Drosophila melanogaster: one gene and its partner. The protein of the gene in region 1 purifies or fractionates together with the protein of each later gene. This does not show direct contact. Each region holds a gene or a part of one and is shown in the gene's direction. Other genes may lie near its edges.

Region 1 (7,560 bases):
GTGATTTGGTGCCAAGTAGGTTGTTGGAGCACCCAAGTGTGTATTTACTTCATTTTGCCATACTCTTCAGAGAAACCCAACTACATGCTACTGTGCACATTGTATATTCTTATTGGCCTGGCCCTGACATCGACCATCATTGAGCTGGTGCGAAGGCAATATGCCACCAGTTGGGCCAAGCTGCAGGTGGGTTCTACAAGTATACACTATTTTTATTGTATTATTTACCAAATTTAACTATTTTCCAGGAGCTATCTGGTCCCATGGCGGAGACTCTGCGTCGCTTGGGCGAAACAGCCGGCACGGGCCTCGATTATACAGCCCTGCAGAAGGTGCTTACGGTATGATGATTCTCACAAAATAAACACAAACATACGATACTAAATGAAGGTTTACCACCAGGTGTCCATGCCCAAATGGAATAGTAAGAAGAATGAGCACAGTCCCGATATTGCGGCCCTGGAAGCCATCACGAATGCCATTTTGAAGGAGGTGAAGGAGGCGCAGAACAACAAGCCGAAGGTCCTGCAGATCGTCATATACGAGTCGTCCGTTTAGACGGAAAGGAGGGATAGAAACCAGACAGCGAGATTGAGCTTCCATCGATGAAAAAAGTGCTGCATAGTTTTGGGCGAGCAGGCAGAAAAGCAAAAAAAAAATATATATATACATATATCAAGCGAAATATCAATTGTAGTTAGGCTGCCGATCGTAAACCACATGTTACAGTGGACACTGGCTACTGTAGCACTGCCAGACTTCCATAAGTTAGTGTCCGTACTTATAGCTATTATATAGTCAAATGTCTAGGCAATAATATTGCTCATACGTACTGAGGTCACTCTTACACACACACACACACACACACACACACAGACACACACACATGCAAAGCACGGCAGGTGATTTAATATCTATAGTAATAGAAAATCTTTTTTTTTTTGAGTAATTCTAACCGTATGAGGTAGCTTAGGTTATTCGTAATCTTAATCGTAACTCTTGTCCATACCATGCATAAATGTCATCTTAAAAATAAACCAAGAAAAAGACTTCAACAATCTGCAAGCGTTTTTAACCCAAGAGATACATATCGAAATGATTTTTCACTTTGATCATTCGTTTTTCTGCTCAAAAGCTTTGGCTAATTTCGTCACTCGGTTTTGAAGCTCAATTCTCGTGACGAATGGAACTTTCACCGGGATGAGCTTAGAGAAGACCTGAGTTCCGATTCACATGATCCAATTCTACAGAGAACCACCCCAATTCCATACCGCAGTTATTTACTCGAGCACTGTGAGAAAAGTTGCCACCATTCGTGCTCAGATCATGAAAAATTCGAAGGGTATGCCACATGGAAATATATGCATATGAATTGAACAACAAAAGGATTCTAGAATATTTTTGTTAAATATTTAAGTTAGTAATTGCGCAACTTTTAACAAGCCGTCGCATTTGCTTGCGAGCTGAGTGCACAATTTTTGTTCGCAGTGCACATATGCTGCACATTGTTGGCTATAAAAGTCGTTCGCACCGTCGCCGCTGTCTAGTCGCTGGAAAAGAGGCGCGAGGAGTGCGAGTGCGGGTCCAACGTATCTAATTTATACACATATCCAGCCGATTCCGAGTCCGTAACTCCGCCATCCGATCCGGTCCGATCCTCTTCGCATCGCTCCGTTCCCATCCCATTCCATCGCATCGCATCCCCTGTGTGTGGGTTGATATACGCGATCATTTCGCGCTGGTTGCCTCGGCGAGGGGCTGTCACCGTTTAGTTGTGCGCTGGCCGAGCAGCGAGTAACATCCGGTCCACCGATCCGATACGATCCTATCCGATCCGATCCGATCCGATCCGCAAAACCCAATCCAACCCAGCCCATGGATAGCTGATCGATCCGTGTGTACTGTGTGGGAAGTGTGCGTGCGCCGATCGATTGGTTTTCTTTTTTGTTTTGGTGTTTTTTCTGTGACCTGGTGAACATTGTTGACCGATCGAAACAGAGAGAGAGAGAGAGAGAGTGAGAGAGAGGGGGAGAGTGTGTGAGAGAGAGAGCAAGAGAAAGAGGATCCCGACAAGCAATGGAGGTGCTGAAGAAGGACGCCGCCCTGGGCTCACCCAGCAGCGTCTTCTACTTCCTGCTGCTGCCCACGCTGGTGCTTTGGTACATCTACTGGCGATTATCGCGGGCTCACCTGTACAGGTTGGCCGGACGACTGCCGGGACCACGGGGACTGCCCATCGTGGGTCATCTGTTCGATGTGATTGGACCCGCTTCATGTAAATCCACTAGACTAAGTGCCATTTTTTTCGCGGGAAAGGGTGCGACATAGCCCCTTAGCAGGCATAAGGGTTAAGCAGCCAGTGAAAAAAAAAAAACGAGGATAACCAGTTTTAAATACGGATTATCAGGCAAACTCCGAATTGAATTCAAATCACATAAAAATATTTAATTTTCAATACATTTCAAAAGAAATCCTGCTGCTATTGAGAAATCAATTTGGAACAAACTTTAAACTTAAAGAAAAGCATTTTTGAAACTTAAAATATAATACTCGTTTGAAATCTTTTTAAAACACTTCTGAAAGTACACACATTTATTTGAAGTTCTACTTCAAACGAAACTTTAATTCTGATTTAAAAGTAATTATCATGCATTTTCCAAAATTTTAAACATTGATTATTAGTTTTTAGTCACTTGGAATAAAGTTTCCGAATAATAGTGAAATGAAAATTCTTCTCCTTTTTATTTTAAGAAAGAACTTATTTCTGACTTTTAAAATATAACACATACTAGAGCACTAATTATCCTTTTCAAAAATTAATCGTGGTTTTGAATTGATCCCCCAAATTAATCCGTGTATCCCCGCAGCTGTTTTCCGAACAGTCATCCGCAAAAGCGCCCCTTTCGAGCACATAGCCAAGATGTGGATCGGGCCCAAGCTGGTGGTCTTCATCTACGATCCGCGGGACGTGGAGTTGCTGCTGAGCAGCCATGTCTACATCGACAAGGCATCCGAGTACAAGTTCTTCAAGCCCTGGCTGGGCGACGGACTGCTGATCAGCACAGGTGAGGTGGGGTTTTGAGGGGGAAAGCCTCCCACATTTAAGGGGTGGTGTCCACTTGCCACTAATGCAATTTGCGAAATCATAAATTAATTAAGCGATCCGCTAGCCTGACAGTTGGCACAACAATGCCGCTATAAATAAAATCAACGTCGCAGAAAAGTCACGGAAAAAAAATGCACAGTCGTTTGCACTGAAGATATACCAATTTCAAATGTAATAAGTTCAAAATGATAATATGATAAATAATATTACACATGATGATTTTCAATTTAGACAGACATGTAAGAAAAAAGTACTATTATTTATTAGCTTGAGTGATAATCATGAACAAATTTGTAATGTAATGTCCAATTTTTTTTTGGTTTTTTTTTTTTTGTAAGAATATCTTGTATGTACGATCGGTTCTACATTCCCGCTCCATCTATTGTTGCAGGTCAAAAATGGCGATCGCACCGCAAACTGATTGCACCCACATTCCATCTGAATGTCTTGAAGAGCTTCATCGAGTTGTTCAACGAGAACTCGCGTAATGTGGTGAGGAAACTGCGTGCGGAGGATGGTCGCACTTTTGATTGCCATGATTACATGAGCGAGGCAACCGTGGAGATTCTATTGGGTAAGTGAACAGATATACAGATAGATGGATGTACAGATACATTCATATACAGATATACAGATACAGATAGGTGCGATATACGGATATGGGGATAGAGATAGCCATACTATGATTACACTAAAGTACAGTCAACCCACACGCACTCGCAATCGCAACGATCATCCGAAATACCCATACCATTCCATGACATACCATCATACCACGCAGTACGATACGATACTATAGCATACCATGAGCATACAATCCAGCATCATCATCATCATTTCAGTTATATGCGTGCGCCCAAGCCACCTAATCCCCGCTAGAAACGCCGTGGATATGGACACATTATATTGTATGCCACACACAATTGAGTGCAGACCCATTTCCCTATATACTGGCAAATCAAAAATTTGCCGCTTTTGTTGTGGCCCCACAATGGGAGCAAATGAGCATATACATACATGTGCTTTTGCATATAAAGATATATATATATATAGATATATATATGTATATATATATTTCAAATCCCAGCCCCCAGATTTAACCGAATTATGCCAAACTGATGCAAACTGGTTGGATTTGTACCCCAAACGATCATGTTGCTTGGTTATGAAAATTCCATAAGTAGGGGTTCTTACTAAGTTAAAACAAACAATCGAAGATCAGTTAAAAAGATAATCGATATCTTATATAGAGTAAATTTACAGCATATTCAAAACATAACTATTGTAGCTCAAAGTAGGACAAATTTATTTGGGAATTTGAAAGTTATAGCAAAAACATATGGCATATACAAATATTGTATGTCCTCCATATTTAAGCTTTATAGAAGCTTAACAATAGTTTCAGTTTCAGTTTAATGGGAATATTACACCGAGATATCTGAAAGATCCAAGTTCTATCAGCAATAAACAACCTCATATTTCTAGATGCAGGTTAAGGTAATACCTATAGGTTTTGGCCCACCCAAATGGTCTTGTTTATCATCATACCAATGGCACCCAGATGGCAATTCGCTTAAAGCCAGACACGTTTTGGGCCTGGAGTGAAAAGTGAAACCGGCAAGAGCCTAGACAAAATTGGCTGGTGGCCAATGTTAATGACATTGTGGAGCTCGTAGTGCTCGGCCGATTTGGGATTGATTTGTAGGCCATTGCATAATAATCCGAGCCCTGCACAATTGAAATGCAGCCAAGATTGCAGAATTCAATTGCCTTGGATTGGATTGGATTGGATTGGATACGATGTAATGTGATGTGATGGAACCGAGGCGAACCGAACCGAACCAAACCGAACCGAAATGCAGCGAATGAAAATGCAACGCAACGAATGCGGGATTCGCAGTCAGTAGTGCAATTAAAGCCACGTCGCACTGCCATTAAGCATTTAATAAGGAAAATTTGAATGCAACGACTGAGGTTGTTGTTCACGGCGATTATTAGTCTGGGGTATGGGGTCTGGGTCTGACGCAAACGGGCAATTAGCAATTAAGAACTCAACGAAACGAACCCAAATGCCAAGCGAAATGCGAATGAAAATCCGGGCGAGTTTCCACAGGAAAAACTCAAATGTGTCATTGCATAAGCCAGATTTTCGTATTCCTTTTCCGCACGAGCAAAACTCAAATTTAGCAGTTTAATTTTTAGATATGCTATTTACACGAACCTATTCAAATTTACTGACCTATCTCATTTGCAACTTGAATCTTTCAAATCGTTTTCAGATTGCACTGTCACTTTCCTTTAGTTTAATTCCAGTTATAGACCGTGATTCACTGTGATTGGCAATCGAGAACTTATCAAAAAAAAAAAAAAAAAAAAAAATGCCAAATTCCACGCTCGCAGTTTTCCCACAGCACAAAAACACACATGATTGTACACACGAAGCGGATTTGTCCGTAAGCTCGTTTATGCTGTCATCTATAGATCTATTTATGCATTGTATCTACAATTAGACAGGCGGTGGATGGATGGTGAGCTGGCGGGGAATCCGGGGGCTACCTCCGCCGCCTGTTGTCTGTTTGTTAAGTTCAATTGGCGCTTGGGTCAGGCGAGTGCATTCCACTTCCCCCCATTTGTGCTGGGGGTCCATCCCATCTACATCCACATGCCATCCCTTGCCAACTCATCTCATTCTATCCGATCTCCTCGCATCCGATCTCGATCGCAATCTGCTCTTCAAATCCAGATACGAGTCTCTGCACTGAAAGGAAAAGTACGATTCGAATGTGATGGGATATTGAGGTTATACTTATACTTCCTTTTAGTTATTATTTAATATAATCACAATCTAAACCTACTTGTATAAATACACACCTTTCTGGGTGCTACATTTTGGCAATTCCAGAGACTGCGATGGGTGTGTCGAAGAAAACGCAGGACAAATCGGGATTCGAGTATGCGATGGCCGTGATGCGGATGTGCGACATCCTTCACGCCCGCCATCGGAGCATCTTTCTGCGCAACGAGTTCGTGTTCACCCTGACGCGCTACTACAAGGAGCAGGGTCGCCTGCTGAACATCATCCACGGCCTGACCACCAAGGTGATCCGCAGCAAGAAGGCGGCCTTTGAGCAGGGCACCCGTGGATCCCTTGCCCAGTGCGAGCTGAAGGCAGCCGCCTTAGAGCGGGAACGGGAACAGAATGGTGGTGTTGACCAGACCCCATCAACAGCTGGCAGCGATGAGAAGGATCGGGAGAAGGATAAGGAGAAGGCCAGTCCGGTGGCGGGACTGTCCTATGGACAGTCGGCTGGTCTCAAGGATGACCTGGATGTGGAGGACAATGATATTGGTGAGAAGAAGCGGCTGGCCTTCCTTGATTTGATGCTCGAAAGTGCACAGAATGGAGCACTCATTACGGACACGGAAATTAAGGAGCAGGTGGACACGATCATGTTCGAGGGACACGACACCACGGCAGCCGGCTCCTCGTTCTTTCTCTCGCTGATGGGCATCCACCAGGACATCCAGGATCGCGTACTGGCCGAACTCGACTCCATTTTTGGCGACTCCCAGCGACCGGCCACATTTCAGGTGGGTAACTAATGCCGCACACATCACCATAGTTAGTTAGTTATATTCTTGAATGTTGAACGTTAACCGCTTAAAATGTCCGCATTCCGATTGCAGGACACACTGGAGATGAAGTATCTGGAGCGGTGTCTGATGGAGACGCTGCGCATGTACCCACCCGTTCCATTGATCGCCCGCGAGCTGCAGGAGGATCTCAAGCTGAACTCGGGCAACTACGTGATTCCCAGGGGCGCCACGGTGACGGTGGCCACCGTCCTGCTCCATCGCAATCCGAAGGTCTACGCCAATCCCAACGTCTTCGATCCGGACAACTTCCTGCCGGAGCGCCAGGCCAATCGCCACTACTACGCCTTTGTGCCGTTCTCTGCGGGACCACGCAGCTGTGTGGGTGAGTTGCAGATATAACACTGAAGCAAATTATGTGAATATTCGGATCGTCTATATGAATAATGTTTTGTTTCATTTATTATAATTATTTTTTTAGGGCGCAAGTATGCGATGCTCAAGCTGAAGATCCTACTGTCGACCATTTTGCGGAACTACCGTGTCTACTCGGACCTGACCGAATCGGACTTCAAACTGCAGGCGGACATCATCCTAAAGCGTGAGGAGGGATTCCGCGTGCGCCTCCAGCCGCGGACCAGTTGAACCCCGGTGGCCGCGACGAACATCAGCTAGGCGAACCAGGTGGACCAGGTGGAGCGGGTGGGGCAGGCGGAACAGGCGGGCAGCACACCATACACCGTACACCGCAAACAATAAGCTACACAGAACGGACACTTATCCATACATATAACTCCACTTGTTGGCAAGTGATAGTCACCGGTTTATACAGTAATATTGATAATATTAAATAATAATAA
Region 2 (7,966 bases), on another chromosome or scaffold:
GTTGCAGTGGTTGAGCCTTTTGCCATAGTTTCTCGATCACTTTGTTTTGTTTGATAGTCTCCAAGAAGTTGGCGGGCAGTCCCCCCGATCCACTGTCAGCTGTCTCGTCCTCCATGTCGTAATCGGCCACGCTCTCAGACTCTGAATGCTCGCTATCTGTATCCCAGTTGCTCTGTTCATCGCTGGAGCCCAGGTTGGTTATAATCTCCGCTACCAGGCGCTGGGCATCTAGCAAGTGCTCGAGGTTCTTGAGTGCTACCTCGGCATCGCATTGGTTAGGTTTCGACTGATTGGCACTCTGTGTTTCCGTCATATCCTCTGTCTCCATGGAGATTTCCAGCACGGGGGCCTCGTTCTTCGACTTTGCATTTAGAATTTCGCTTTTGCAGCTTTGCAGCTGGGCCTGTGGATCTATGGAGAGTAGTTTGTCCAGACTGTTCAGGATTTCCCGAGTGTGGGCGGCCGCGCATGCGGGTACATTGCATAGGATACCAGCAGCTAAGGCGTTCAGGTAAAGCTGCGCGTGACTTTCTGTGGGAGCCACAAGAAGCTCAGGTAGTATTGTACTGCTGGCCAGGACGTTCCACGAGCTGGAGTTGTTCTCAGACACCACCAATACGAGTTGGGCCACTGAAATGGCAACTTCGAGTCCGAACTTTCTGTAGTCGAAGCCCAGCAGCAGGCTGGAAAGAAAGTTGGCCTGATTTAGTGCTTCTGTGGCGGTGGGCGAGCTCTCGCACAGATTTCGGAGCAGATGGATTGCTTGCTGGAAGGTGTCCGCATGCAGCTCGTTTTCGAATCCACCTTTTGTCAGATCATAGCTACGGACCAGAGTCAGCAGGGCGGTCAGTATGTCGTTCTCAACGAGGAAGTCGCACACCTCCGTGCCAAACACCGACAAATTCCGAAAGGCACCGGCCGCCGCATTCCGGATGGCGCTCTCCTTATCGCACAGCAGGGGGGCCGCAATCCGGACCAACTCGCTGTCGCGTATTTCGGGAACCTTCTCCTTTCGCAGCGCCAGCACGGCGAATGAGTGCAGTCCGTTCAGCTTCTCCTCCACGTTCGCCTGCTGCAGGTGAACGCAAATCGCCTCGATGGGTCCGCAGCCCTCCGCTTCGCCCGCTGATTCCACATCGATTTCCGCCGAGGTGTCCACGCCGGATGGCGTCCGTGTTTTTACTTTTCGAACTTTTCCCATTGCAACAAAACACAACTGCACGTGTTTACTAATGGGGCTGGAACAAAAGGCGGCGGCTTTTTGTGCTATCGATGTTTCCAGATAGTTGGCAGCATCGAACATTTGCCTACCCTTATCGATTTCATTTTATGCATTTCGCATTCAGTGATCACTGGTCACGTTAAGGAGCACAGGTATTCCATAAAAAACTTTTACAATAGCTACATGGATGTATTGTCTTTTATTTCCACCTCATAATTTAAAAAATATGTGGCACAAAACAGTATATGAGTCTTTTGCTGCACGTTGTCTTAAGAAATTTCCAATTTATTTATATAAATATTTATTTCTTACAAATTTATTTCTTTATATTCCTATACATATATGTATCTCTTCTTTTGTTGGAAAAATAAACGTGTATGATAATAACAAATTTTTTTTTCTGCTGACCGTTTAATTATTTGGTAGTTGAATCGTTGAGTTAAGCGATTCCTCTAGATGGTAACAAAATAGCGTGAGAGTGCTCCCAGGTCTAAAAAGAGTGGCATAATAGGCGAGTGACGATTAGATGCGCAAGGGAGAGAGAAGTTATTAGCAACGAGTGTTCTCGTTAACAGATTAGAGATAGTACCGAAACACTTCGATTTGAACTCTTGCCCCGATCGGGTCATGCTGAGCTAATTATAAAGCAGACTTTGAAAATACGATCAGATATATTCATATTTATTGCTAAGCAAAATGTAACTCTTTGTAAACGTGATAAAATAACGTCCCTTAGTAGCGGACTGGCAACGACATTCATGTGCTGCCACATAGCCTTTCTTATTCGATAATTCGATAAGTCGAGTAAACTGGATTGTATTCACATCTCTAGCGGCAGAAAAGTGTAGAAAATTTTCAGGGGTTTTTAAAACGAAAAGTAAGAGGTTGCGTACAGTTAGATTTGTGTGCCATGGATGCGAGCTTAGAGGAGAGCATGGATAGCGATGGCGCCAGTTCGCCGATTACCAAGACGGAGGCAACGGAATCTCCGCCAGAAGCGGGTCTCAATGGAAACGGCAGTGGTAGTGGTAGTACCAGCCAGGAGACCCCAAATTATGGCGTTGCTATACTCAAGGAAAAACCCAGCGAGGCCCATAGGTGCGTTGTCATGGAAAATCCGGTGTTTTAATGCTATAAAGTTGTTTTACCTTGACCCAATTACAGGAGCAAGCCCTTCAATGCGTTTAGTGGTCGTCCCATCGGGGAGCACACCGCCCAGCAGCAGGCGCTGCAGCAACAACAACTGCAGCAACAACAACAGCCACAGCAGCCGCAGCAACAAGCTCCTTCCGGAGCAAATGGAGTCACAGGACCCCCGGAAATCTGGGTGGAAACCAAGGCGGAGGACGGTCGCTCATATTATTACCATGCGGTAACTAGGGAAACCACTTGGTCTCGACCCGATGGCCCCGCTGTCAAGATAATGACCCAGGCAGAGGTGGAGGAGATGGCCAAGCGACCTGCCCAGGCCGCGAAAACGGAAGCCAAGGCAGGCGAGACGTCGGTCGAGATTCCGCCAGTGTCGTCACATCTTACCTCACAACCTCCGCCGCACCTGATGAGCCAGCCACCACCCAATGCGGCAGCACCGCTGCTTTCCCAGCCACCACCCAATGTACGGCAACAGCCACCACCAATGTTCCAGCCACCTGGAATGCAGGCGCCTCCTGGGTTCGGACAGCCGCCGTTTTGTATGCCACCTCCAACTTACGGATTTCCTGGAGGACCGGCACCAGCTGGGGCACCTTGGGGCGTGGGCATTCCGCCTTGGCAGCAACAGCAGCACATGCAAGACAAGCCAGCCAAGTCGCTAATCATTAAGCCGGGTGTTATCGATCCGGCGGTTATAGCGCGAGCAGCAGAGTGGTCAGAGCATCGTGCTCCCGATGGAAGACCGTACTATTTCCACGCCGGTCGAGGAGAGAGTGTCTGGGAGAAACCGCAGGCGCTGAGGGACATGGAGGCCGCTCGCATGGCTGCCCACTCGGGCGTTGCGCCCGCTGTGGCAACAGCTCCGTCGGGACTACCACCACACTTGCTACCCAACCCTATGATGCATATGCCACCAGGATCAGGGCCGCCGGGATTTGATCCGCATGCTGCTTTTGCGGCTGCTGCTGCAGCAATGAAAGCCAATTCGGAAAACACTAAGGCTGCACAGGCAGCTGCTTTGGAGAAAGAGGCTAAAAAGGCGGCGGAGGAGAAGCGAAAAAAGGAGGAGGAGCAGAAGAAGGCTGCGGCATCAGCCAAGCAAACGGACAAGAGTCGACCTGTGACAAGTACGCCCATCGCTGGAACGCCATGGTGTGTCGTATGGACTGGAGATTCCCGCGTCTTCTTTTACAATCCGTCAACTAGGACTTCGGTTTGGGATCGCCCCGAGGACTTGTTGAATCGTGAGGACGTTGACAAAGCGGTAAACGAACGTCCGGAGCAACTGAAGACTCCGCAAGAGAAGTCGGCTGAAGCCGAACAGAAGTCCGGCGAGGAAGCAAATCAAGAGCAGGCTAAATCGCAAGTTCAAGCCCAGCAACTGGATCAGGTGCAGAGGGTGGATGCGGATGATGATGACGACGACGAGGTTATCAAGATACGCACAGAGTCTGAGTCTAGTGTGGAAGAGGTGCCAACCAAACGAGTTCGAATGAGTAAGTTACGGGCGGTTGTGATCATATAAAGGATACCTGTCACACCTTTCGTATCATTAGTTTCCAAGTCGAAGCGGGCAGAGGATGCCGCCCTAGAGGCTGAGCAGCGGGCGGCCAAGGAGCGGGCCTTAGTACCACTAGAAATGCGCGTCACCCAATTCAAGGAAATGCTTCGAGAGAAGGACGTATCGGCTTTCAGCACTTGGGAGAAGGAGCTTCACAAGATCGTGTTCGACCCGCGGTATCTTCTGCTGACTTCGAAGGAACGCAAACAGGTATTTGAAAAGTATGTGAAGGATCGGGCCGAGGAGGAGCGTAAGGAGAAGCGGAACAAGATGCGCCAGAAGCGGGAGGACTTCCGCAGCCTAATGGAAGAAGCCAGGCTGCACGGAAAGTGAGTATTGCCGGCTATCATTTATGGTTATTAGGTTTTACGTAAGAGTGCCGAAAGGGTATACTAGATTCGTTGAATAGTATGTAACAGTAGAAGTAACCGTTTCCGACCCTATAAGGTATATTTATTCTTGAACAGGATCACTAAACGAGCTGCCCTTGACTTCGCCGCCGTTGGGATGTGAAGAGGTTTTCTTTGGCTTCCTTTTTCCTGGCTTATTACGTCTGGTGTTTCGCATAGGGGGCCCTAACCGACCTTGTAGGAGCTAAAGGTTTAATTTTGCTTTCCAAGTTGCTACTCATTAAGGTTGTCGACCAACCGGGAGTTTCGTGGTGGCTGTGGTTTGGTACCCATATCGCCTGTAATGTCGATCTTTGATTTACGGCGTAACGGGTGCGTAAAACTAGGGTGCTGTGACCTATAGATCAGCAGCAAGCGGTAAACCGGGTTGTTTACTTAGTGCACGGCAATATCTTCTTGTCCGGTAATCCCTTCGAGGTGGAACACAAATTCGGAGGGATCCGAGTCCCATTTTAGAGACGTAAACGCATCGCAAGTATGTTCTAGAAGATGTAGAAGATTTAGAAGATCCAACGCCCGGAAACCTCAAGAAGAAGTGACCCCACCACTTTTAAAAAATGCTTTGATTTTTTTATTTCTAAAATAGTGAAATATAATTTTCCCACTAGATGAGTAACGAGATGATGTTTTATTACTGGGTAGGATTGTAATCCTATATTTATTCGTATATTGTTCATGAAACGTTCTCGTTGATATTTTGAATTCCAAACTCTTTCAGATCCTCATTCTCGGAGTTTAGCCAGAGGAACGCCAAGGATGAACGGTATCGGGCCATCGAGAAGGTTCGCGAACGAGAGAGTCTCTTCAACGAGTACATCGTGGAGGTGCGGCGCCGCGAAAAGGAGGACAAGCTGTTGAAGAAAGAGCAGGTAGGCCTAGGGTATGCTGGAGCCCCTTACCCCATCACCTTACGTATCTTGATGTTTAAACATAAATGCATATCTTTATATATATATTTAATAACTTACCCGTATGCCAAACGTATTTACATAATGTGATTGATTTTCTGTTAACTCTTAAACCATAAACAACGTGTGAATCGAAACCGAAACAAACCAAACTGAAAATGAAACCGAATCCGAACCCTGACCGAATGCATTATCCCTCAATGTGTTGGGTTCCGGTGGTTTGCCACCCGATACCTTAGCCACTAGCTAGCAGGTTACAGCACAAATGCACCACCCAAAACACCAAAATACACAAGAGCAACAGCATCGAGAACCACCTGTACAACACTCTCGACGGTCTATTCCGCCCGCCGTCTGCCATCGCCGTCCACTGATCTACTTGACCACGCACATGTTTGCAATCTGTGTGGTGAGTTACTTGAAACATAACAAGCAAAAACATTTAAATTTGTTTTTCTGCAATAAGAGACAAATTTGGAAAAAAAAAAAACAATTATAAAACCAATATAAACAAAACTATCGAAAGGTTGCCAAACTGAAAATTACCTGATAATCGTTGGTGTGATTTCCACTTCCCGAACTACGCCCCACGTCGCCCCTCTCGGATGTTTTATGCGATGTGATGTGATGAAGAGGATGTTGCGATGATGTGATTGGCATTGGGATCATGATTGATGATGTTTGAAGTTCGCGATGGGCTCTCGGAGGGATGTCGCCGAGCAGGAAGCAGGCAGAAAGGGATTGTTCCAGAGATCCGGAGCGACTGCAGTTCGTGTGCAGGTGTCTGCGGCGCTAAGCAAACAGTATGAATAATACTTAATTTAATTAACCCACTATTTTCGTTTTGTTTACAAATAATGTACACACTCAGCAGTTTGTCACCTGACCGAGGCAAGCCGAAGGAACCGAACTCAGCCCCATCCCCACCTGCACAGACCAAAGACGAACGATATTCTAAAGCTATCTAAAGCCAAAATATCCAGATCTTTGCTCTGGCAGGTCTAGGCAGCGGCCCAAGTCGCTGGAAGGCTCTCTGCCCCATATTCTTACCATTTACCATATTTTTACTGTAGATCTATTGACTATTGTACCCTTCGGCCGTGCTGAAGTCTGAACATCAAGGCCTGCTTTTGTATAGAGAAATTAATGGGTTAGGTGGTCCGTTCGTTATAATTTTTGCTTTCTCCTCTGCATCTATAAAAAATGTTTGTAGCAAAAGATAACATAACAAATATTCGATCTGGCCGTGTCCGTCGACGAGATCTCTGAAACTAAAAAAGCTGGAAATTTGATATTAGTTTTGGATGATTTTTGTCGATGCCAAAACATGAAATTCGTAAAACTTGTACCCGTAATCCACTCAGATAGGTTAGGGATATCTGATAATGGAGGAAATCGACTTGATTTAAGATGTCCAAATTTGTTTTCTGTGTGTCGCTTGAGACAGACCCAAATTCTCTACGCCAGCAGGACTTGAATTAATCCAACGTTCTTTTCCAGTTAAGTCTGAAATCGCTAACCAAACCCGCTCTCTTTCAGGCACAAATCGTGTAACTATGTTCTATAGCTTAAGAAAAATAAGTCTAAGTCTTAAGTTAGGCAATTAAGCATAGAGTTTTAAGTGAAGCCGCAACAATTCGAGACCCCTCTAATTCGATCTGTTTGTCGCATTTCTCTTCTCTTCCGCATGGCTGTCATGTCAATATTACTTTCACAAACACTTTAAAACTCTAGATCCGCAAGGACTTTCTGGATATGCTGCGAGAGCGTCACGACATCGAGCGCCACACCAGGTGGTACGACATCAAAAAGAAGTTTGAGTCGGATCCACGCTACCGTATGGTGGACTCCATGTACCGGGAGGAGTACTTCGAGGATTACCTGCACATTATGAAGGAGGAGAAGCGAAAGGAGCGGGAGATGCGTGAGCAACGGGAACGGGAGCGACATCGCGAACTTAAATCTGATCGGAAGGAGAAGGACAAGGAAAAGGACAAGGGTCGGAAGGATCGAGGACGCAGCCGTTCGAAAGACAAGGACCGCGAGCACAAGTCATCCAAAGAAAAGGATAAAGACAAGGAGGAAAAAAGCAAGTCGGAGAAAAGCAAGAAACGAGATACCACCCCAGTGAGTCTATAATCGTTTTAAGCGTTTTAGATCGGTATTCTAATCAGCATATTTTAATTTTTTGCCTTTCATAGGAGGAGGGTGAACATCGTGAAGAGTCAGAAAGGGAAGAACGAGCCGGCAGCGACGACAGCGAGGTGGCTCGCCAACGGGAGAACGAGGCTGAGCAAAAGCAGAAGGAACGCGAGAAGAAGCTAAGGGTAGAGCAGAGTATAAGGGAACGAGAGAAGGAGGTGCAGCGAACCCTGGCCGGTCATTTGAGGGATCGGGACAAGGAGCGCGAGCATCACATGCGCGAGGAGTGCATTGGTCACTTTACCGCTTTGCTGACAGATCTGGTGCGAACGCCGGACTTCACGTGGAAGGAGGTCAAGCGACAATTGCGGAAGGATCATCGCTGGGAACTAATAGAAAGCCTTGATCGCGAGGATCGCGAGCGGTAAGGCATTAACATTGTTAAAAATTCTATTTATTTATATTCAATAAATTTAATATCGTTGCAGAAAATTCAACGAGCACATTGACAATCTGATGAAGAAGAAGAGGGAGCGATTCCGCGAAATGCTCGACGAGATTAGCACTCTTC

The links.
Region 2: the proteins of Cyp4g15 (region 1) and CG42724 purify together in Drosophila melanogaster (affinity purification with mass spectrometry, with the first as the bait; one large-scale study listed by BioGRID). This does not show direct contact.

Annotation. Positions count from the first base shown.
Region 1 is NC_004354.4:11,475,517-11,483,076, forward strand, and holds the start of Cyp4g15 (cytochrome P450 4g15), read left to right. Parts: upstream 1-1,541; 5' UTR 1,542-2,076; coding exon 2,077-2,275; intron 2,276-2,867; coding exon 2,868-3,065; intron 3,066-3,497; coding exon 3,498-3,680; intron 3,681-6,008; coding exon 6,009-6,697; intron 6,698-6,793; coding exon 6,794-7,085; intron 7,086-7,181; coding exon 7,182-7,345; 3' UTR 7,346-7,560. Other genes in the region: CG43155 (uncharacterized protein), read left to right, coding at 1-15, 71-186, 249-341, 403-558. UniProt on the Drosophila melanogaster protein: Probably involved in steroid hormones biosynthesis.
Region 2 is NT_033777.3:6,362,252-6,370,217, reverse strand, and holds the start of CG42724 (uncharacterized protein), read left to right. Parts: upstream 1-1,929; 5' UTR 1,930-2,132; coding exon 2,133-2,320; intron 2,321-2,386; coding exon 2,387-3,870; intron 3,871-3,930; coding exon 3,931-4,264; coding exon of another isoform or gene 4,265-4,268; exon of another isoform or gene 4,269-4,959; intron 4,960-5,063; coding exon 5,064-5,214; coding exon of another isoform or gene 5,215-5,343; exon of another isoform or gene 5,344-5,492; coding exon of another isoform or gene 5,493-5,627; exon of another isoform or gene 5,628-6,987; coding exon 6,988-7,380; intron 7,381-7,454; coding exon 7,455-7,819; intron 7,820-7,883; coding exon 7,884-7,966. Other genes in the region: CG10286 (uncharacterized protein), read right to left, coding at 1-1,201.